Linked DNA regions of Rhinolophus ferrumequinum. The protein of the gene in region 1 interacts with the protein of each later gene in a biochemical or structural test. Links are inferred from orthologs where the notes say so. Each region holds a gene or a part of one and is shown in the gene's direction. Other genes may lie near its edges.

What was found.
Region 2: the proteins of ARAF (region 1) and GNA12 form a complex in vitro, tested with the Homo sapiens proteins (2 studies listed by BioGRID). The link is inferred for Rhinolophus ferrumequinum from reciprocal best matches to the Homo sapiens genes ARAF and GNA12.

Annotation. Positions count from the first base shown.
Region 1 is NC_046284.1:86,425,493-86,436,452, reverse strand, and holds the start of ARAF (serine/threonine-protein kinase A-Raf), read left to right. Parts: upstream 1-5,838; 5' UTR 5,839-5,930; intron 5,931-7,251; 5' UTR 7,252-7,310; coding exon 7,311-7,406; intron 7,407-7,562; coding exon 7,563-7,666; intron 7,667-8,430; coding exon 8,431-8,533; intron 8,534-8,623; coding exon 8,624-8,778; intron 8,779-8,889; coding exon 8,890-8,988; intron 8,989-10,459; coding exon 10,460-10,601; intron 10,602-10,702; coding exon 10,703-10,730; intron 10,731-10,809; coding exon 10,810-10,955; intron 10,956-10,960. UniProt on the Homo sapiens protein: Involved in the transduction of mitogenic signals from the cell membrane to the nucleus. May also regulate the TOR signaling cascade. Phosphorylates PFKFB2.
Region 2 is NC_046307.1:43,054,203-43,065,986, forward strand, and holds the start of GNA12 (guanine nucleotide-binding protein subunit alpha-12), read left to right. Parts: upstream 1-6,918; 5' UTR 6,919-6,981; coding exon 6,982-7,293; intron 7,294-11,784. UniProt on the Homo sapiens protein: Guanine nucleotide-binding proteins (G proteins) are involved as modulators or transducers in various transmembrane signaling systems. Activates effector molecule RhoA by binding and activating RhoGEFs (ARHGEF12/LARG).

The DNA of each region.
Region 1 (10,960 bases):
GCTAGAGGTGGCCACTTTACTCCTGAGCAGATTCTGTACCCACTGGCCAGAGACACCCCCACCCGCCAATGCAGCTGTAGACTCAGGACTGCGCAAATGTTCCCTCCTAGGGAAAGACTTTTCAGGGATCCACAGCATCCAATGTCCCTTCAGCAGAGCCTGTTAGATAGAAATTTTCTCCCTGTGGCTGAAGTCCTCATTAGATCAGGAACCCCTAGGGGTAGAGACCATGTCTTTTTTTAATGTCTTGGCAGTGCCTGGCACAGAGGAGGGGCCCATTATGCTTTTTAAAAATACAAATAAACATATATAAAGTGAAAAAAAACTATAAGGAATTATTTTATATATAAGGAATTATTTTATATATACAAAGGATTATATATAACATGTGCATTGTGTCAAGAATGATATAAAGATCACATGTGGGTCATTTATCCAGAAATAATGAAAATTTACTTGGAGTACATTTGTCTGACATCTCATTTACAGTGGTTTTATAAATTGAATAGAGATTTACCAAATATGTGTGAGGTAAGCCAACAGATATTAAACTTTTGTTTTTCACCTTTGATGGGACTGTGGATCAGTCTATATGTGCTTGGAATAAATATGTTAACTCTGAGAAAATTTGTACCAAATGCATTTCTGATGAAAACCGAAAGTAGACATTTCAGAATCACTTCCTTTGGGTAAATGCTGTCAGTTTAATTAATTAAAAACTTAAAAAATTACCAAGGACCATATCAGATTATTATCCCTACCAAAAGAGCTACCTGGGAGGACCAGTGGTGTTTGCCACTGTCCATTGCATCTCAAAGGGGGTGTCACTGCTCAGTTTGTAGGTTTATATTGATCCTTTTGCTTGACTATTAAATATTTTCATACTTGAGCCTTGTTTTATTTATAAGAAATAATCATACTCACCAAAGAATTTCCTCATCAGAGTAAATCTTTAATAAAAAAAATTACAGGACTGTTATTTGGTTTAATTATTAGTTTTTCTTCCCCTCCCCACCTTTATTGAGAGGTAACTGACGATTATTTTTTCTATTCATTTGATCCTTGGGTTTGGAAATTGAAAATATACAAACCTGCACACTTGTTTAATTTTATGAACACATGGGAATACCATATATATCGTATAATGAACTGTTAAAAAATTAATCGAAAACAAAAGAACCCTGTCTGTGGTTTAATAGTGTGACTTGCACCAATTTGGATCGCAGTGATCACAAATTCAAATTACTGCTCAATGCATTTTGTTAGGAAAGACTTTTTAATAAGGACTGTTAAAAGGAATGTTTAGGTTCACTTGTAAATTTCCCACATTTTGACCCCAGGATTGTGTATTAAAAATCTCTTCAAGGAATATTCAAAAGTGGAAACTTCCATACTCTGCTTTAGATGGACAATTACTCCCATTGGCTGGGACGGCCCAGAGCCCACGTCCTCTGCGTAGCTATTGGTCTGCCAGTGGCTCCTCGGAGTCTCAAAGTCCAGTCTCTTCTCGTTCTAAATGCTAGGGTGAAGTAGAGCCTATCAATGCCCGTGGCATCCCAAAGCCCGCCCTCCACTGCATCGCTATTGGGTGACCTCGCTGCCTGTCCGGGGCCTGGAACACTGAATGTCTCACTCCAAACCGCAGCGGGGGCCTAGCGGAGCGGATAGTTGAGGCTTCTCAGTTGGGCCAGTGAGGCACTCAGTTTTGTCTCGGTCTGTGCGTGGTCATCTCTCCCGACACGGGTAGCTAGCGGAGCGGGAGGCTGTGCGATGGGCTGTCGGACGTGGCGTTCTGCAGGCGGCGGCAGGGAGAGCGAGGGTGGTGAAGTTGGGAAATGGGAGTGGCTGGTTTAGAGAGCCTCAGGCACGCTGGACTGCTGGGGCGGAGCCAAGATTCCTTACAGAGGGGCGTGCCCCTGGCCTACACCCTTGTTCAAACACTTTTTACCAAACTTGAAATGCTGGAGTTCTCTCTCCTCTGTCCTTCCGGTTAGGGCAGCCTGAACCTCAATTGGATCAACTGTGAAATGGGTAGGGTTACAACAGTGGTTGGTGAACACTTCAGATTTTGTATGTTTTTCAGACATATTTCAAAGAATTGAAAATCAACAATTATAAAAACCAACAACCATTTTAAAATCTTTTAAAATTTCTAGGTGGATAATTTCGAGGGGAATGTCAGAAAAAACAATCAGCTAGTTCAGGTTTTAATTTTTGTTTTAATATATGGTGCGCTTGATGGTTTTTAATGTGATGATGATGATGATGATAAAAACCCAAGTCACTTTAAAGGCCTTCATGACTTGTTAAGTACCTGTGAAGTACTTGGCTGAAGTCGTGCCAGTTGGGATGGGTTTGGAGTGAGTCCCTAAGGGAGAAAGCTTTGTCCTTGAGTGAGCCATGACCCTCTTCCATCCTCCATCCCTCCTTTCTGGCACAGCATGTCGAATTTTGCTTACCTTTTTGTAAATGTTGTGCAACGGAGCCAGAAGTCTGTCTTCAAATACTGCCTAGAAATTAAAGTTCTAAAATAAATTAAATAATATTCAAATGAAATGAAATTTAAAATGCACTCCCCACCCCTGACATTATTCTTCCTTTTGGAGAGCGTTTTGGAGCCCCTCACTGAGCTCCAACAGGAGTTGTTTCTGACCCCATGTGGTGCCAGGGCTGCACCACTGGGAGATGGGGATGCCGGCTCTAGGGCTTCGAATCAGAAAAGAGAATTAAAAAAAAAACAACTCTAATCACTAAGAATTTGTAAGAATTCAACATGTTTAAAATTATGTTTGAAGCCCCCTTTTTTGCCATGCTCTTTTAAATTGAGGTATATTTTACATACAATAAAGTGTACCCATTTTCAGTATAGAGTTTGATGAATTTTGATAAATGAATACTGAACTGTCCAGTCACCTCCAAAAGTTCCTTCATGCCCTTCTCAGTCATTCTCCCACAAGACAACTACTCTGCTTTCCTTCACTATAGATTAATTTTGCCTGGCTTAGATGTTCATACAGATGGAATAATACAGTATTTATCTTTTGTGTCTGGCTTCTTTCACTCGATCTTATGTCTGTAAGATAGACACATGAAGTAGTTTGTTGCCTTTCATTGCTGAGTAGTGTGAAAAGTAATATAAATGGAGCCACTTTAAAATGGAGTCAGAGCTGCTATCCCAGAGGAACTGCCTTGCACATCTTCCGCCTCAAACCTATGGGATGCATAAACTGGGCAAAATAACCTTTGGACTGGACCTAAAGCAGCATGGAATCCCCAAAAAACTGTTTGCAAAGATAACAAGAAAGCAGATAATATGACTAATGGACTGAAAAGTTCAAAACATTCTTTAGCACTAGCATCACTGTTAGCTTATTCTCACTTACAGAAATGCCTTCCTTCTATTGATGTAATTGTTCCCCATCGCTTTCTCATAAATACTTCTTGCCTTGCCTCCTAATGGGAACACTATTTGGGTTTCTGCCTGAATCAGTGCTTTCCAAATAGCTCTTCTTTGGATCTCAAATAAATGCTCATTGCCTCTCACTTTGGCCTTCTAATTTTAGGTTAACAGTAGTATTCCAGGATCCCATTTTTGTGTTTCTTGGTCAATTCTTTTGTTGCTGGACACCTGGTCTGTTTGCAGTTTTTTTTTTTGCTATTATGAATAAAGCTAATATGAATATTGGAGTATAAATTTTTGTGTGGGTACATTGCAGTAGCATGCTGTGGCTGGCTCACCAGAGCCAATTTTGCAAATCTCAACTCTGGTTCAATGGTGTCATATTAGTAGCTTGAAATAAGCCATGGTGGGAGTGTTTATGTCTTAGTTGGCAAACACTACAAATTAGAGCTTTTTTCCTGGACAGCTGGTTGTTAAACAGTTATGAGCACGCCATTGGACATGTTTTCATTTCTCTGGAGTAAATACTGAGAAATGAGACTGCTAGATTGCATGGTATGTATATGTCTAACTTTACATGAAGATGCCAAACTGTTTCCAAAGTGGTTGTACCATTCTACACTCCCAATGGCAATGCATGAAAGTTCCTATTGCTCCACATTCTCATAAATATGCGGTATTTATTCCGTCTTTTTCATTTTAGCCATTGAATGGTGAAGATCCTAATAGAAAAGAAACGATGGGAAATAGAGGTTATATGACAGCCTAGTAAGCAGAACTTTTGTCTCTCTCCTTATAGGCAGAGAAAGCACTTAATAAATACAAGTTGAAGTATGTTGAGGCCCCCTCACCTAATGACCTTTCTCTGATCCTTCCCACTTCATCAGAGGGATGCTGAGGCTCCAAACAGGAGAATGTAGTCACTTCAAACAACAGGCTGTTCAAAAAATTAAAAGTGAAATCTCGTGCCAACCGGTGAATCCTCCCCACAGAGGTAGAAAAGAATTAAATAGTTATACAGTAGTACCTCGGTTTTCAAACGTCTCTGTTGACGAACATTTCGATTTACAAATGCCATAAACCCGGAAGTAAATGCTTCGGTTTTCGAACACATCAAACATGTCACGCGGCTTCCTCTGAGTGCAGGATCCCGACACCTCGCTGTCGGCTCTTTACGAACGTTTCAGAACTCGAAGGGTCTTCCAGAACGGATTACATTAGAAAACCGAGGTAGCACTGTATTATCAAAAAGTGTTAAACCAGACTGCAATGTGCATCACAAGCAATTCGCTAAAGAGATTGCAAGGACAGTAAAACCTCATCCTTTAAATGGCTGGGGAGATACAAGCCATTACATACTTGTTCTCAAGAAAGGCAATAACTTGTCCTTAAGTAAGAGAACTTGACAGTACCTTTTGCTACACAGTTCATCTCAAATTCACCTGGTAACTGGGGTAGCCATCTGTCTTTATCCAAAGAAAAAAAATAAAACACCTATCTCTTTGACAAGCAGCTAACAACTTGGCGCCAGACGCCTAGGTCAAATTCCTACCTGACGGAGAAGGGGCGCTATCTTTGTTGATGTTTGCATTTCAAAGAGATGACTCCAAGGCCCCTAAGAACAACATCCTTGGGTTGTAAAACTGGCAGGAAGCCTATTTAGCTTGTAAAAAGATTTACATACATCTCGAGGGGACAAAAAAATTTACAAGTTTTCTAAAGGAAATGCTCTAAGAAAAGGGAGGGTGGAAAGTCTCTTTCACTTTTGACACCAGGTAAAAGTCATCTTCTAAAAAATTGTAATTACCCCTCAATTCCTCCATACATTTCCCTGCACTTGTGCCCCATTCCAGGTCCACACTTCCCTCCCCTCTTCACCTGGCCATCTATGACTAGCCTTACAAAATCCTTATCAACCCCATTCCTAAAGGACAGCTCTCAGAACAGCAGGCCACTCTTCCTAGTTCCAGACCCCCAGGCCGGCCACACTAGAGACCCGCTGTTATCTAAGGCTAGGACTTCAGTTTTTCAGAATTGGAAAACGTTGCTGATATTTGGTCTGATTCCAACCCATTTCAAAGACGGTAAAACGGAGACCCAGGAAACTCCCAAACGGCTACTTAGGCCTCCGGGTCACTGGAACAAAAAGGGGCATTTAAGGATTCTCCGCCCAGATTCAGGAAGCCCTAAAGTCAGACCCAACTGACCGAAAAAAAGCCCCACTTTATTCTGCCACGGTACGATTGGGTTAAAGCCCCTGGCACGCAGGTCTCTTGACTGCGCCTGCGCGACTCAGGACGTGCGAATTTGCCCCAGACCCAGACGTTTCAAGCAGCCCCTCCTAATCCGGAACAAGACCCACATTCCGCCTATCCTGCCTTGATAGGCGTGACCCTAATCCAATAAGGATAGAGGGCTGAGTCCTGTGGAGCCAATGGCGAAAGTCCGAGGGGCGGTGGAGGCGGACTCTATGAGGAAACAAGAAGACAGGCCCAAGATGGAGGCGGCTGCGGCCGTTGCAGCTTGACAGGTGAGGGCGGGCCCCGCAGGGTTAGGTTTCTGGAGCGACCGCCGGGCATGGGCAAGGAGCCGGGACCGAAAGCTTAGCTCCAGGGTGGCTGCGCCTGGGCCCCGGCGCCCCCTGCCCGGAACCGGAGGAGTGGTTTGACCCGGGGCGAGACCATCGGACAGCGGGGGGTAGTGGTGGGTAGACAGGAATAGGGGTGCAAGGCTGCGGGGGGATGGTTTCGCCCGTCGCGTGTGGTAGCACGCCTGCGCAGAGTTGGAAGGCACTCAGTAGGCGGGGCAGGGCTGAATTGGGCCTGGGCTGTGGTGTGTTGTTCCCAGATCCCCTGTAAACCTTCTTAAGGTATCTGATGACCCTTCTTTACCAACAGTGGGGAATGCATGGGGACGCGGCTCACTACTCGCTTGCTTCTTCTGGATCAGTGTCTGACCCACTAGGAGAATGTTTGAGGATTACCCCCTTACTCCTCCTTAACCCTCACCAGCCTCCTTCCATTATCACCAGAAATATGTCTGTCACCCCTTAGTTGTCAGCGAGAATTTTGGAGCCTCCCTGCTTTACCTCTATTCATCTCACCTCAACAATGACTAATGATTCACCATTACCCTCCTTTTCCCCATGACAGTGTCCGGTGACCACCTTATCCATTCTTCTCCCCATTACAGTCTCTAGTGACCTCTATTACATCTTCCTTCAGCATAATGTCTGCTGAGCCTTGTGATCTCCCGTCACAGTCTGGTGACTCCCATTAGCCACCTAACAGTGTTTGTGAGCCTGCCGTCATGGCAGGCCAGGGCTTAGGTAGGGATGCCCACAGTACCCTTAAGAACACTCTTTGGTGCAATTCCCATTTTCCCCAAACGAAGGGCAATAGCTGATGATCTTCCATTCATTCCCCTTCACTCTGTCTGTGACTCCTCCCTCAGCATAGTATCTGGTAACCCCCTTCTCCATTAAAAAGCCGGGACACTGTTCGTGTCCATTATGTACCTGACACACCCCAGTGCACCGTGTGCTGACTTCCCCATTAGCCCCCAGCACAGACTTTTGTACTCCTGTTCCCTCCAGGACAGTGTGTGCTGTCTCTCGTTGTGTCGTCCCACCCCCACCTGGCCCCATGCAGTGAATCCGAGATCTTGGCTGGGCTGAGCAGAGGAGGAACTGGATCGGCTTCAAAGTGTTAACAGGCTCCCTTGGGCTGCTGTGTGGAAATTAGGCTACTGGGCGTGACGTGGAGCCTGGAGGTTGAAATTCTTTTTGTTTCCTGCCACTGTGCTTCCAGACTATCATTACTGGACCTCTGAATTCCTCCTCTGTCTTCTAGGAGCCCCATGGCACCTGCCCAGCCCCGCCTCAGCCCATCTTGACAAAGTCCTAGGCTCCATGGAGCCACCACGGGGCCCCCCTGCCAACGGGGCCGAGCCGTCCCGGGCAGTGGGCACTGTCAAAGTGTACCTGCCCAACAAGCAACGCACAGTAGTGAGTCTGAAGGGAGCAAACCTGGTAGGGGTGTGGATGGACCCAGTTGTAAATCTTGGGTCAAAAGGGTAACTAGGGCTGGGAGGAGGCTTTGGCCGAGGGGTGGGAGAGTTAGTTGGGGCCCCTGTTGGGCACTGATCCCCCACATCTGCACAGGTGACTGTCCGGGATGGCATGAGTGTCTACGACTCTTTAGACAAGGCCCTGAAGGTGCGGGGTCTCAATCAGGATTGCTGCGTGGTCTACCGGCTCATCAAGGGGTAAGTGTGGCATACACCTCGTCCTCTGCCCACTGGGTGCCCAGCCTCCCAACTCCTCCTCAGCGTCATCCGACTCCTTCACTCTGTTGTGGAGTCTCCGTTAGTCTTGCCTTACTTAGTTCAGTGAATTTGTGAGTCCATCCAGCTTTTGTTTCGTTACTTCGTTAGTTCATTGGCCTGTCAGGTCAACATCTCACTCTCTCTTTGACCCCCAAGTCTTCACCCTGCTCCATCACCTCCTTCCAGAGTTCATCTCTTTTGTTCTTTCACTTTTTCATCAATTTGTTGGCTCTGTCCTACCTCCATTTTCCCATTATCTGTCTGCTGAGTTGGGCCTTCCATTTATTCTTCTGTTCTGAGGTTCCTTAATTTTTTTATTCAATTCACACATTGCTATGTATTTGTTGTTTTAATGCCTCATCGGCTGTTTTTTCTGGGGCTTCCTTAGCACTTCTGAGATTTAGTTGTTTAGTCACCATCTCATTTGCTTCTCACCTTGTGGTTAAGAGCATGGCCTCTTCACACTGTCCTGCTACTCATAGTCCCTTGTGGCTTTGGGCAAGTCACTTTATCCTTCTGAGCCTTAGCTTCCTTATCTGTAAAATGGGGGTAAGGATAATAACTAGTTCCTAGGGTTGCCGTGATGGGAATGAAACATGGTAGATATTGCTCCGTGGATGCAGACTTGGAGGTACCTTTAGGGGTTCCCTGCCTCCCCGAGGCCCTGTCCACCCTCCCACTCACTCCTTTCATACCTCCTGCAGGCGAAAGACAGTCACTTCCTGGGACACTGCCATTGCCCCCCTGGATGGCGAGGAGCTCATTGTGGAGGTCCTTGAAGATGTCCCACTGACCATGCACAATTTTGTGAGTGCAGGGGGGATAGTGGGTGCAGACCCTGGGCGTGGGGGGAGGGTCCTTGACCAGGCCTCACCCTTCCCTGCTTTGTGGTAGCAGGTACGGAAGACGTTCTTCAGCCTGGCGTTTTGTGACTTCTGCCTTAAGTTTCTCTTCCATGGCTTCCGCTGCCAAACCTGTGGCTACAAGTTCCACCAGCATTGTTCCTCCAAGGTCCCCACAGTCTGTGTAGACATGAGTACCAACCGCCGACAGTGAGCCTGGCCTGGGGTGGATGGGGGGATGGGGAGGACAGATGCCCAGCCACAAGGTTCTTACAGAGAGCTCACCCTTGTCCCCTGCTCTATACCCTTAATGTCCTCAAGGTTCTACCACAGTGTCCAGGATTTGTCCGGAGGCTCCAGACAGCATGAGACTCTCTTGAACCGCCCCCTGAATGAGCCGCTAACCCCCCAGGGTCCCAGGTAGGGATGCCTTAGCTGAAGAGCTGCTGCTGGGAGAGAAAGATCTGGAGGCCCCTGTAGACCACAAGCCATTCTTTATTCATTCATTTACTTGACAAACATTTGTTGAACACCTACAAGTATGAGTAAGGGCATGGAGCTGTGGGACCTTGGGCAAGTCACCTAATCTCTCTGGCCCTCAGTTTTCTCATCTGTAAAGAGGGGATAATGTTACTTTTTGCCACATAGGGTTCTGGTGAGGCTTAAGTGAGTTAAGACATATCAGATGCTTAGAACAAGATCTAATACAGAGTATAAAGGTTCTCCTTATTAATTATAAATATATATGTATGTATGTTTATGTATATCAAAGCATCTAACTACTTTATTAATTCTTCCAGTATAATCATGCTCAGGCCTTCCCATTTTGAAATATATATATTTTATCATAAATTCCCTTTTATTTCTTCTTTATGTTAAGTATTATAAGACTATATAGTATTTCTATGTTAAAAAAGATTATTGCTCTAATATATCGTAAGTTTATAAAACATGTGTTTTCTATGTCTATATTATGTATTTTATAATGTTTATACTTGTACGGTATATTATGTTAATGTATCATGTGTTATATTTATAATATTTTTATATAATGTAGAGCATCATATATTTTTATATAATATATAAAATAGTAAAGTTAGGGCATTATGTTATATTTAATTGGGGGTGTAATTGAATTAAGTAAGTATGAATTTGAGAATAGTGGAAGGGAACATTAAGAAATGTTTTTGTGGGTGGCCGGTTAGCTCAGTTGGAGCGTGGTGCTAATAACACCACGGTGGCCTGTTCGATCCCTTCCTGGGCCACTGTGAGCTGGGCCCTCCTTAAAATAAAAACGCTTTTTGTAACATTATGTATATGTAGAACACGTATGTATAACATATATAACATTATAATATGTATATTTTGAAACATTGCCATTTTAATATAGAGCATATGTTATACATTATATAGTACATAATATATTTGAATAGTACATATTGTTATAAAGTATGATATATATTACTCTTTCCCCCACTGTGTGGCTCACTGTCCCTTCTTTAGGTCTTTGCTCAAATGTCACCTCCTTAGAGAAAGAAGCCTTTCCTGACATCATAGTGACACTTTCTGTCTCCTCATTTTGATTTATTTTTTCCTTATCGAATCGATCAGACAGATTAAATATTTTGTTTTTTTAATTTCTCTCTCTCCCTTCTGGAACTCAGCCACATGAGGGCAAGAACCTTTATTTGTTTTGCCCCCAGTTTTATTTCCACTACCTAGCATGGTATCTGTCACATGGCAGGCACTCAATAAATGTTTCTAGAACAAATGAATAATAGTAATGACGGGATATTTACTCTGTGAGCTAAACACATGTTTAGGACGGGGCGAGGGTGGCGTGGCTGCTTCTGTTCGTTTGACAGTGATTCCACAGCCTTTCCCCTGGCAGCTCCTACACCCAGCACCGTGACGCTGAGCACTTCCCCTTCTCTACCCCGGCTAATGCCCCCCTCCAGCGCATCCGCTCCACGTCCACCCCCAACGTCCATATGGTCAGCACCACAGCCCCGATGGACTCTAGCCTCATCCAGGTTGGTGTCGAGGGGGGCAGTGTCGGGACCACTGGGCAGAGGAGAGAACCTTTCCTGTTGGCCTCAGCGTCCTCTATCTGACTCTGTCCCTCTTCTTCCAGCTCAGTACCCAGAGTTTCAACACTGATGGTGAGCCCCCACTGCCTGCATCCTGAGCGCCCCCTCCCCACTGCACCTGCGTCCACTGACATTCTCTCCACAATCACAGCTGCTGGCAGTAGAGGTGGTGGTGATGGAGCCCCCCGGGGGAGCCCCAGCCCGGCCAGCGTGTCCTCGGGTAGGAAGTCCCCACATTCCAAGTCCCCGTCAGAACAGCGGGAGCGGAAGTCCATGGCTGATGACAAGAAGAAAGTGGTAAG
Region 2 (11,784 bases), on another chromosome or scaffold:
AATAACTCCACAGTGGTGGTTAATTCTAACCAAACGTTGTAGATGTCTTCATAGTGTCTGGCGGGATTATATATTTTGGTCCCTTTGTTGGTAGGAGCACAACTTGTTTTATGTTACTTTGGGAATTCTCCAGAGAAATAGAACCAACAGAAAATCATATATATATATGTATGTATGTATATCTGTGTATATATATATATATATACACACACACACACACATATATATCACATTATATAAACAATAATATGATAATTATATATCAAGAGACTTATGCCATATTTACATATGTCAGTAAATATTTATTTTAAGAAATTGGCTCATATGATTGTGGGGCTGGCAAGTCAGAAATCTGCAGGGCAGGTAGCAGGCTGGAAAGTCAGGTAGGAGCTCATGCTGCCAGCTTGAGGCAGAATTACTTCCTCTCTGGGAAACCTCAGTGTTTGCTGGGAAGGTCCTTCAACTGATTGGGTGCGGCCCACCCACACAATTGAGGGTAATCTTTTTGACTTAAAGTCAACTGATTGTAGAGATTAACCACATCTATAAAACACCTCCAGTCATAACAACTGTACATTTATGTTTGATGAAGTCACTGGGTACTAGAGCCCAGCCAAACAGACACACAAAACCAACCATCACATCAATAAGCTGTGTGCAGAACTGGCACGTCACGTCCAGGGTGTGCATCTAATTGTCAGTGCACAACCCTCCAGAGATCTTTCTTTCCCCCTGCTCAGTGACCAGCAGTGTTCAAGATGGTGGCTGCAGCGTCAGCCTGGATCCTGGATTGAGGTGACATGAAAGAGATCTGCCAAACAATCTTCAAGTGGGAGCCAGAAATACATCTTGGGTTTAGGAGCATTTTGTGAAGCTAAACTAAGTTTAAAGAAATTGGGTCCCTCTGCTTCACTGTGCGTTGTACGTCCCTGACAACCTGGATCGCTGCTTCTTGAGCATCTCCCAGAGACATCCCAGATCCTCTCCACTCCTCACAGGCAAGGTTATGGAAAGACTCCGTGTGTTGTTACCAGGATAAAATGATAACACACACCAACCTGTGATGTTTAACCTTGATCCGTGCCGAGAAAGGAAGTCGCCTGCTGACGTGGTTCTCAAAATTGCTGACGGTTAGTCCTCATAATGATCCCCTTCTGAGGCATGGGGGACAAATAAGTAGAACCTAGGTTCAACTAGGGAAGTGCTTCTGCACATGATGCCTGGGTCTCACGATTGACTCTTCCTTAAAAATGTGCTGACTTTGGATGAGATAGTTAACTGGCAAGACAACTGTCTCCTCCAAACCATGGCTGGCAGCACCCCGGAGAATCCCCTTGTCCACTTCCAAGGGAAGTGACAAAGCTCATCCTAAAGAGAGAGCCCTCTGCAGTGCTCTCAAGGCCCCTGGGGACTAGCCTGCCATCCACTCATCCATCCATCCATCCATTTACTCCTCCTTCCTTCCTTCCTCCCTCCCTTCTCCCTCCCTCCCTCCCTCCTTCCTTCTTTCCTTCCTTTCTTCCTTCCACCCATCTACCAAACAAATGATTGAGTCCCTACTGTGTGCAGGCACAGGGGCTCCAGCCTTACTTAAATAGACACAGACCCTGCCTCATAGACATAGTTGGGAAGACAGACAATCATCATGTAATTACACAAATAATTTTAAGTGTGATGCATGCTAAGAACGAAAAGGATGGGGCACTATTTACAATTAATTTGAGAGAAGATTATGGGAACTGGGCCTAGTTTGGTGGGGTATGGTGGGGAAGTTTGGGGTAAGAAAAGACTTCCTGAGAAAGTATTTGAACTTAGCTCTAGTGGGTGAAAGCCTGGGAGATAATTGAGGGCAGGCCCTTTTCTGGGCTGAGGGACTAGCTGGAGCCACGGCCTTGGGGCAGGAGCAGCCTTTGCCCTGACGGTGACTGGGTTACAGACTCTTCAGATGGGTGGGCCGGTGGGGAGGCAGCAGGAGGAGGGTGGTGACCCTGTTCTTAGTCATGCAAAGGGGCTGCGCAGGGGGAGACCCAGGATGCTATGCAGACAGCACAGGCTGCCGAGTGAGGTCCAGATACTGGGATTCAAATTCTGGTTTGGCCGCTTCTTCAGTGTATGATTTGGGGCGAGAGACTACATTGCCGAATAGCAGCTTCAATGTACTATGAAGACAATAATGGTGATAATGATTAACATTGATTGAGGCCTTACTCTGTGCCATTCTGCTTAGGATTTTACCTATGTCATCTCATTTAATCTTCAGTGATTTCAACCTGGTTTACTACTGTAGTGCTACCATTACTGTTCCCGCTTCACAGATGAGGAAGAGGGAGGCACAGCAAAATGAAGTAATTTGCCCAAGATCACACAACCAGCGGAGGAAGAGCCAGGATTCGAATGCAGACGGATGGGCCCCAGAGCCCCTGCTTTTAACTGTTAGAGAACACATTACCACATGGAGGTCGTATCGTAAGGATAAATTAGGTTATGGGACAGTAACAAACAACCCCAGAATCTTCTTACTAGGATGCAGTAACAAACAAGTTTAGCAAGCTGGGCTGTTTACATAGAAGGTATATTTTTAATTTCTATAACTTTAGACTTTTCAGAAGATATATTTATGTTAATGATATCAAATTTAATTGCAACATGGTCAGAGAATGTAGTCTGTATGATACCAATCGTTTAAAATGTGTTGGAACTTGCTTTATGGTCAAGTATGTGGTCGATTTTTGAAAATGTTCATTGTAGTTGAACAGAGTGTGTATTCTCTAATTATTGGGTTCACTATCAACATATATTTATTACGTCACACTTGTTAATTGTTGCTGTAGAATAAGTATATTTAACCCTCACCCCAGCAATGATGGTAGATTCTTTAGTTTCTCCTTGAGGTTTTGTCGATTTTTTTTGCTGTAAATATTGGAGGCTATATTATTAGCTGCATGCAAGTATGGAATTGTTAGGTCCTACTAGTGAATTAAAGTTTCTGTTATACGAAAGGGCTCTCTTTACCATTAGTCATGCTTCAGACTTAAAATCTCTTTTGTCTCCTATTCGTATAGATATGCCAGACTTCTTTTGGTTGCTATCTGCTGGTAAACCTTTCTCCATTCTTTAACTTTGATCTTTTCTGGGTCCTTTATAAGCATGTAGCTGGACCTTATTTTTATTTTATCCAATCTGATAGTCTTTGATTTTTAATTATTTTAGTCTATTTACATTTAATTTGATGAATCACATCTTTGAATTTATTTCCACCTTCTCATTTTGCTCTTTGCCCTGTTTTTATTTTTGTTTTTTCTTCATTTTTTGCATTCTTTTGTATTGATTGATTTTTGTTTCCTCATTCCATTTCCCCCTCTGCTAGTGTGGAATTCATGCACTCTGTTTCTCTTCTTTCTGTGTTTACCCACACATTTTAATATGAATATTTAAGTCTACAAAGTTTAACATTAATCAAAATATTCTCTCAAACCATTGAAAGATCTTAGAACACTTTCATTATGATTGCCTCCTCCCTACATCTACGCCATTAGTGTCCGGTATTTTAGTTTTATTTTTTCCTCAACTCCACAAGTTAAAATTATTATTGCTGTTTAATGGAGTCAAAGATAAAAGTTACCTATATGTTCACAAAGTGTCTACCGATCTTTTTTGTATCGCAGACCTTAATTTTGAGACTATTTTTCCTTCTTCATGAAGCACCTTGTGTTAGATTACTAAGGCTGACAAGATGAGCCTTAGATTGCTAAGACATAACCCAGTACCACCGTCTGGGTGACTTAGTAACAGAGATTTATCTTCTCACAATTCTGGAACCTGGGAGTCCAAGAGCGAGGTGTCGGCACTGTTAGTTTCTTCGGCAGCCCGTCTCCTAAGTTTGGGAGTGACTGCCCTCTCCCTGTGTCATCACGTGGTGGACTTTCTGCCCACGTGTGTCTCTAAATTTCCTTTTCTTACCAGTCATATTGGATCAACGCCCTCCTTATGACTTCACTGTATCTTAATTACCTCTTTAAAGCCCTGTCTCCAAATATAGTGACATTCTGAGGTGCTGAGGTTAGGGTTTCAACATAGGGATTTCGGGAAGGAGACACAATTCAGCCCATAACACACGATGTATAAAATAATCTTCTGTTTGAAATGTCCTCATTTTCTTGAAAGATATTTTTACAGAGTTTACAATTATTGATTAATAGTTATTTTCTCTTAATGCGCATAAGATACCATTTCCCATGTGGTTCCCACTTTTGTTGTTGAGATATCAGCTCTGAGTTTGTGTGTTTCCTCTGAAGATTACATGAGTTAATAGAGGCAACGTGCTTAGCGTGGGCCTGGCATCTAGTGACTATTATATAAATAATAGCTATCACTATTTTCTCTCTGACTGCTTTTGAGATCTTCTCTTTATCTTTGATGCCCTTCAATTTCACTATGGTAATCTTTGTCTGTATTTCTTTATATTTATCAAGCTAAGCATTTTGTGCCATGTGTCAATTTAAAATTCTCAGCCATTATCACTTCAAATATTGCCTCTTCCTCATTCTCTGGAATCCCTTCTAGAACTCTGGTTAAATATGTTAGATATTCTTCCTCTGTCTTTCCTGTCACTTATCCTCCGTATTTTTGTCTGTGTTGGATTCAGGGCAATTTTTTTTCAGATATTCCAGTTTATTCTCTTCATCTGTGTCTTAATCTGCAACTTAACATATCTATTAAGTTTCTGTTTCAATTATTATATTTTTCATTTTAGATGTATTATTTGGTTCTTTTTACTTCTGCTTAAAGTATTTTGTGAAACACCTTTACTTAATTTTTTTTAATTGCACAAAGGGCTAACTGATCCACTGCTGAATTCCACATCCCCCTCTTTATTTGTTCAAAATTCCTATTTTCTGTCTAAGAAACATTGCTTTCTGAGGCCTCTTGACTTTCTCTTCACTTTGATCATAAAGCTAGTGTTTGGCTTTTTTGGAAGTCCATTTTCATAAAGAAACAAGACTTTCTTTTTCATCATTTTGAAGGATGACAAAGGACTAGGTGATGTGTTGACTCATAAGGGACACAAATTCATGCCTCAGTAATTGACGGATGCCACATGCCATGGTCTCAGAAGGTCCTCAGGGAGTTTAGATCTCTCAGTTAAAACACTGAGTACCACAGTTCTCTGGCAGAAACTAGGGATCCAAGAGTCTGCACTCTGCCCAGCTACTTGAGCGGTCTGGTTCCCTAACTAATGTGTGAGTTTCTTGATGCAAAGGCTGTATCTTTTCTGTCTTCCGATTCTTCTCCAGAAGTCTTCAGTGCCTGGTGTGTTCATGATGATGCAAAAATTATTTGTAGAACTGAGTGAAATACATGCACTAATTTTTTCTAGTGCATATATCCCTCAGCAGTTGGGGCAAAGGGATAGTGTGAGAGAGAGTAGGCTCTAGTCAGCCCTTGTGTGGGAGTCATTTGTTTGTAGGATACTCTTTACACAGCTGTACATGGTGACGAGGTTTGGGACAGGATGATCTTTAAGACCTGTTATAATTCAACAAGGTGGCCACTGACTAGACTGAGGTGGTTCTAACGCCGTGGTGCCCTGTGTAAGAAAACCAGACTCTAAGCCTGTAAATGCCTCCAGGTGACAAAATCAAAATGCTAAGGACAACCAGTCACAAACAGCCGACTAGTTTTTAAGCTGTAGCCAATCAAATACTGTCCTTTCTTTGCTTCCGCACTTTCGCTATGTCAGTCTTTCCCCTGGCTCTTGTCCTTTGGCCATGCCCAGCTGGAATCGATTTTTCCTCAAGCTCTTAAAATTCTTAATATGCCTCAGTTTCTCTTTTAACAGACCATAGTTCCCACATCTGGCCAATCACCTGTAGATTAAGAGATACCTGAGTTTCTTCCAGCAGCTTCTGACTCAACACTAAGACTCTGTAATGAGATCAGCCAACACTTAGCAGGAACTTAGACACCACGTGAAGGGTTTTACCAGTTCATGTTTTCAGTTTATAGCTTCACAGCCGTATGAGATAGTAGCTATTACCGCCCCATTTTACAGAAGAGGAAAATGAAGCTAAAATCCGGTGTGGGGACAAAGGGGGAGCTGCCTAAAAGGTCATTCAACTAGTCAACTAGTAAGGGGTCGAGTGCAGATTCCAACTCTCAGACTCGGCAACTCCAAACCACACTCTCGATCACTGTGCTACAAAAAGCTTTTTCTGGGGGCTGCTGGTGATTCTGCTGATTAGCCAGCTTTGAGAAAAGTCTCCTAGAGGCCTATGCCGCTCTCAAAGGGTGCATTTGTCCGAAATGTATGGCCCATTCCCCTCCCCCCACATCCCCCGGTGTTTCTGGAAGAATAATAGTTTAAGAACAGCTTTCTCTGTAAACATAAGACGAGCAGTTGGACCTCTTATCGGCATACCCTAGCTTTGGGGCAACGCGGAGAGCATTCTGCAAACCTGGTCTCACAGGTTGAGCTAACCTGAAAACCCAGGGGAACTCTTTCTGTACACCTGGCACTTCTGGTCCCGCCCCGTTTCGCAAAACTCCCCAATCCCAAGCCCATTCGCCGTGATTGACGTGACCTCAGAGCAATTACAATTGGTCAAAGCGGGCGTCCGCTCCGCCTTTCCGATGACCCCGCCTCCCTTTCATTCTGAAAGAAAGGACCTCGGCCTGGGTGTCCAATGGGAAGCGCCCCCACCCCAAAGATCCCGCCTCTTTCGGCGCCGATCCCGCCCCGAGGGCCGGAGGGATGCCCGCCTCTCGGCGTGACATGGCCCAATCGGAAGGCGCGTTCGTCCGTCTGGGCGGCAGCCTGCCCAATCCTCGGGCCCCGAGTAGCGCCGCCCCGCCCCTCCGCCGGGGCCAAGCGGCGGGCGAGAGCGGGCCTCGGGGCGGCGGCGGCGGACGCGGCCTGAGGGAGCGGCCGGCTGCGGCGCGGGGCTCGCCTCGCCCGCGGCGGGATCCATGGCCTGAGCGGCCATGTCCGGCGTCGTGCGGACCCTCAGCCGCTGCCTGCTGCCGGCCGAGGCCGGCGGGGCCCGCGAGCGCAGAGCGGGCGGCGGCGGGGCCCGCGACGCGGAGCGTGAGGCGCGACGGCGCAGCCGGGACATCGACGCCGGGCTGGCTCGCGAGCGGCGCGCCGTGCGGCGCCTCGTCAAGATCCTACTGTTGGGCGCGGGCGAGAGCGGCAAGTCCACCTTCCTCAAGCAGATGCGCATCATCCACGGTCGCGAGTTCGACCAGAAGGCGCTGCTCGAGTTCCGCGACACCATCTTCGACAACATCCTCAAGGTGCGTGTGTCCCCGCGTCCCCGCCCGCACACCTGCGCCCAGGTGCGCGCAAGTGGCGCCCAGGTTTGCGCAGATGCGGCCCGGCGGACCACCGCGCCCGGGCCGGGACGACGGCCCAGCCCTTTGTCTGGCCCCCGGGCTGGGAGCAGCGCCGGCCGTCCAGGTGCCCCCAGCTTTGGGGAGCTGGCCAAGGTTGCGCACCCTGTGTCCCTGTCGGCTTGATGGCTTCGCTTCTGCCCTTCTAGGGCACTTGGGGACCGTGGAAGTGGAAAGGCTGGCCAACTTCAGGGGATTTGGAGGGACGGGAAGGGGGTGTCGGAAGTGGGGAGGGCCCCTCCTGGACTCCCTGACGAGGTCGCGCCCCTGCAGAACGGCATCTGCGCGTTCCCGTTTCCATCCCGCTTGCCCTGCCCTCCCAGTAGGTTCAGAGGAGCAGTGTAAACGAGAGGAAACTGGCCCCAAGTCTCCCCCTTTTAACTGCTCCTCAGGAAAATCTCAAACATGTACAAAGTAGAAGAGTACAGCGAACTGGACGTCCCCGCGCCGCCCCGCAACTTCAACAGTGATCGACTCAGTGCCAGTCTGGTTTCACCCATACTCCTGCCCCTGTGATTTTGAAGCAAATCGCGGACAGGGTATAATTACATTAGAAAACATTTGCACAAAGATGAGGCCTCTTTCAAAACACATAACCGCAGTACCGATGTCAAACCTGACAGTATAATTCCTTAATATCAGATATCCAGCCAGTGTTCTGATTTCCTTTATTGCGCATAATTGTTTTGTTTGTATCAAGGTACAAATTAAATCTATATCTCTTAAGTGCTGTATAACCTCCAGGTTCTCCTTCTGTCTCTTGCTCGGTTTTTATTCTTTGCAATTTATTTGTGAAAGAAACCTGTAGAGTTGACAGAAAGTCTGGGTTCTGATTTCTCTACTGTGAGCCTCTGGTAAAGGTCCCTGAAAAAAGGGAATCTGGAGAAAACGAATGATGGGAAAGTAGTGTTTCTGCTGCGCCTAGACACGGTCATTTCCATTTTTCTTTTTTTGTTTCTCATCACCCTTTCCTTGCCCCCTCACCTAACTTTCCCAGGCCAATTTTGGGGAAACCAAATTACAGGTATGAGGAAATTGTCTCAAAGCAGGGGTAAGAGGGAAGCTTGTCATACCAGAAAGCTGCCTGGAGACTAGATTTTATAGTGCCTGAGGGACTTTAAATTTAGCAAAGGCGGTAGAACCCATCTGGCACATTTTTCTTTCACTTCACCCACGAGGAAGCTTCCTGCCTTGGAGATGAAGAGGCGCCTCCCTGGGACCTGGATGCTGGGACTCTGGGCTCCAGACTTGCAGCCTTCCTTTTCCAGGACAGCGTCGGCAGCCTCATACCAGTATTCCCACGTTATGTATCTGTTGTTAAAATATTTCATTATAATAGAAATAGCTCTTTTAAGGATCATGACAGGAAGAGAATAATTTGAACGATGATAAAACACCGTTTTTCTTTTCACCTCTTCCAAAAGTCTCTCTGAGTCAGAGCTCCGGTCCAGTACTTCATCTTTAAAGGCTGGGTGCCCGGGGTGATGCAGGGGAAAGACTGTGTTTAAAATTCCCCTCATCATCTGGGGCAAAGTGCATTTGGTTGTCTTGCTCTGTCGCTGAGCCGGGTTTTATTTTTGCTGCCTTTCTGGACCTCCAAACCGGGCATGTATAAGAGCATAAAGATTTGGCTGATTGTCTCCTAGTTTCTTAAAATTCAGGAACTAAATCTAAAAATATTTAGAAACATAGAATCTTAAATCTAAATCAGTGTATAAGTGTGTTTCAGAAAACTCAGTCTTAACCTTTTCCGGATGCCTACAAACATTAGCTTTTACTGACTTCCTTATCAACAGAAACCATTTGTTAAACAGTATCCTATTTTCCCTCCCGCCTTTTTTATTAAATTGTAGTTCCATATTAAGCTCACTTTATTTGTTGTGACTATGTCAATAACCAGTTAGATTTAGCTTTCAATCTAAAATCAAAAATTACCCTCCCCCATCTTTGTTTGGACAGATCACTTTGGGAAGAGACTTCCTAATAAATTGCTTTGTGGTGGTTTTAATAGTGGACATTTGAATGATACTGTTCAGAATAATGCTTGTGTTTAAACAAGGATTTAGTGTTGAGCTAATTGTACAGTTCTATGCACTTGTAAGAAGTAATACAGAGATCCTATGTCCCTTCTACCCAGTTACCCTCCATAGTAGTATTTTGCAAAACTGTTGTACAATGTTATAGCCAGGATATTTACATGGCAAAAGATACAGAACATTCCCATCACCATAAGGACGCCTCCTGCTTCCTTTTATAGCCACTCCCTCCCCTCTCCTCCTCTCTCACCCTGGCAATGACCCGTCTATTCTCCAGCTCTGTAATTTTATCATTTCAAGAGTGTAAGTGGATTTACCACAGTGCACCATTTCACCATTTACAGGTTGGAGGATATCTGGGTTTTTTTCCAGTTTCTGCCTATTATGAATAAATCTTCTATGAACATTTTTGTTTGTACATAAATATTCATGTATCTGGGGTAAAATTGCTCAGTTGTATGGTAGTTGTGTGTTTAGTTTTATAAGAAGCTGCCAAACTGTTTCCAAAGTGGTTACACCATTTTCCATTCTCACCAGCAGTGTAGGAGTTATCCAGTTTCCCCACATTCTGGCCAGCATTTGGTGTAGTCACTGTTTTCTTTCAACCATTCTGATAGGTGTGTAAGTGCTATCTTATTGCCATTTTAATTTACATTTCCCTCATGGCTAATGGTGTTGAACATCTTTTCATGTGCTTATTTGCCATCTGTACATCCTCTTTGGTGAAATGGCTCTTCATTTTTTTACCTGTTCTCTGATTAGGTTGCTCGTTTTTTGTTGTTGAATTTTAAGAATTCTTTATATATCATAGATACTAGTCCTTTGTCAAATATATGGTTTGCAGATATTTTCTTCCACTATGTAGTTCTGTACCTTTTCTTTTCATCTGTTTGTCTTTCACAGGGCAAAGTTTTTAATTTTGATGTACAGTTTATCAATTTTTTTCCTTTATGGATTATACTGTCGATGACAAGTCTAAGAACTCTTTGGCTAGCTCTAGATCCCAAAGATTTTTCTCCTATTTTTTTTCCTAAAAGTTTTACAGTTTAAATTTAAATCCGTGATCCATTCGAGTTAATTTTTGTATAAGGTCAAGGATTTTTTTTGTTTTTTTGTTTTTTTTTGCCTGTGGATATCCATTTGTCCCAGCAACATCTGTTGAAGACTTTCTTCCACTGAATTGCTTTTGCACTTTTGTCAAAAATCAGTGGGAGTCTATTTCTGGGTTCTCTATTCCATTCCACCAATCTGTATGTCTCTCCTGCCAGTACACTGTTTGTTGATTGATTACTGTAGCCACATAGTAGGCCTTAATATCAGATGATGATTTCTCCCATTTTTTTGTTTTTCAAGATTGCTTATCTATTCTAGGGCCTTTGCCTTTCCACTAAATTTTAGAATACGTTTGTCTATGTCTATAAAAAACTTTGCTTGGATTAAACCTGTAGATCAGTTTGGGGAGAATTGACATGTCTCCTGTGGTGTCTCCCAATCCATGAATATGGTATGCCTTTGTTTATTTAGGTCATCTTTGATTTTTTTTGCTCATCATTTTGTGATTATCAGCATATAGATCCTGTATGTGCTTTGTGATATTCATATTAAAGTATTTTGTTTTCTTTGGAGCAATTTTAAATAATATTGTGCTTTTATTTTCAGTTTCCAAATGCTCATTGTTAATATACAACAATGTGATTGATATTTGTGTCTCTATCTTGTGTCCTGTGACCTTGCTAAATATACTTATTGATTCTCAGGCTTTCCTGTACGTTCTTTGGAATGTTCTACATACATCATCATGTTATCTGCAAATAGGGACAGCTTTATTTTTTTCTTTCCAAATAAGTATGCCTTTTATTTCTTTTTCTTGCCTCACTGCAGCAGTATTATGTTGAATTAGAGTGGTGAGAGTAGTCATATCTTCTGTTTCTTTCCTGATATTGGTGATTTGTGTCTTCTTTTTATTTTTATCAGTCTTCCTTGAGGTTTATTAGAGTTCTTTTCTTTCCCCCCTGAAGAACCAGCTTTTTGTTTCACTGATTTTTCTTTATGGTTTTTCTGTTTTCAGTTGCATTTTTTTTCTCTTTATTATTTCCTTCCTTCTACTTCCTTTGGATTTATTTTGCTCTTTTTTCCTAGTTTCCTGAAATAGAGACTTAGATTATTTACTTATTATTTATTTATTATTCCAACGTAAGCATTTAAAGTGCTCTAAGTTTCCTCCTTAGCACTGCTTTAGCTGTGTCCACATATTCTGATATGTTGTATTTTCATTTTTATTTAGTTTCACATGCATTTTTGTTTCTTTTGAAATGTCTTCTTTGCCCCATGGATTATTTAGAAGTGTGTTGTAGTTTCT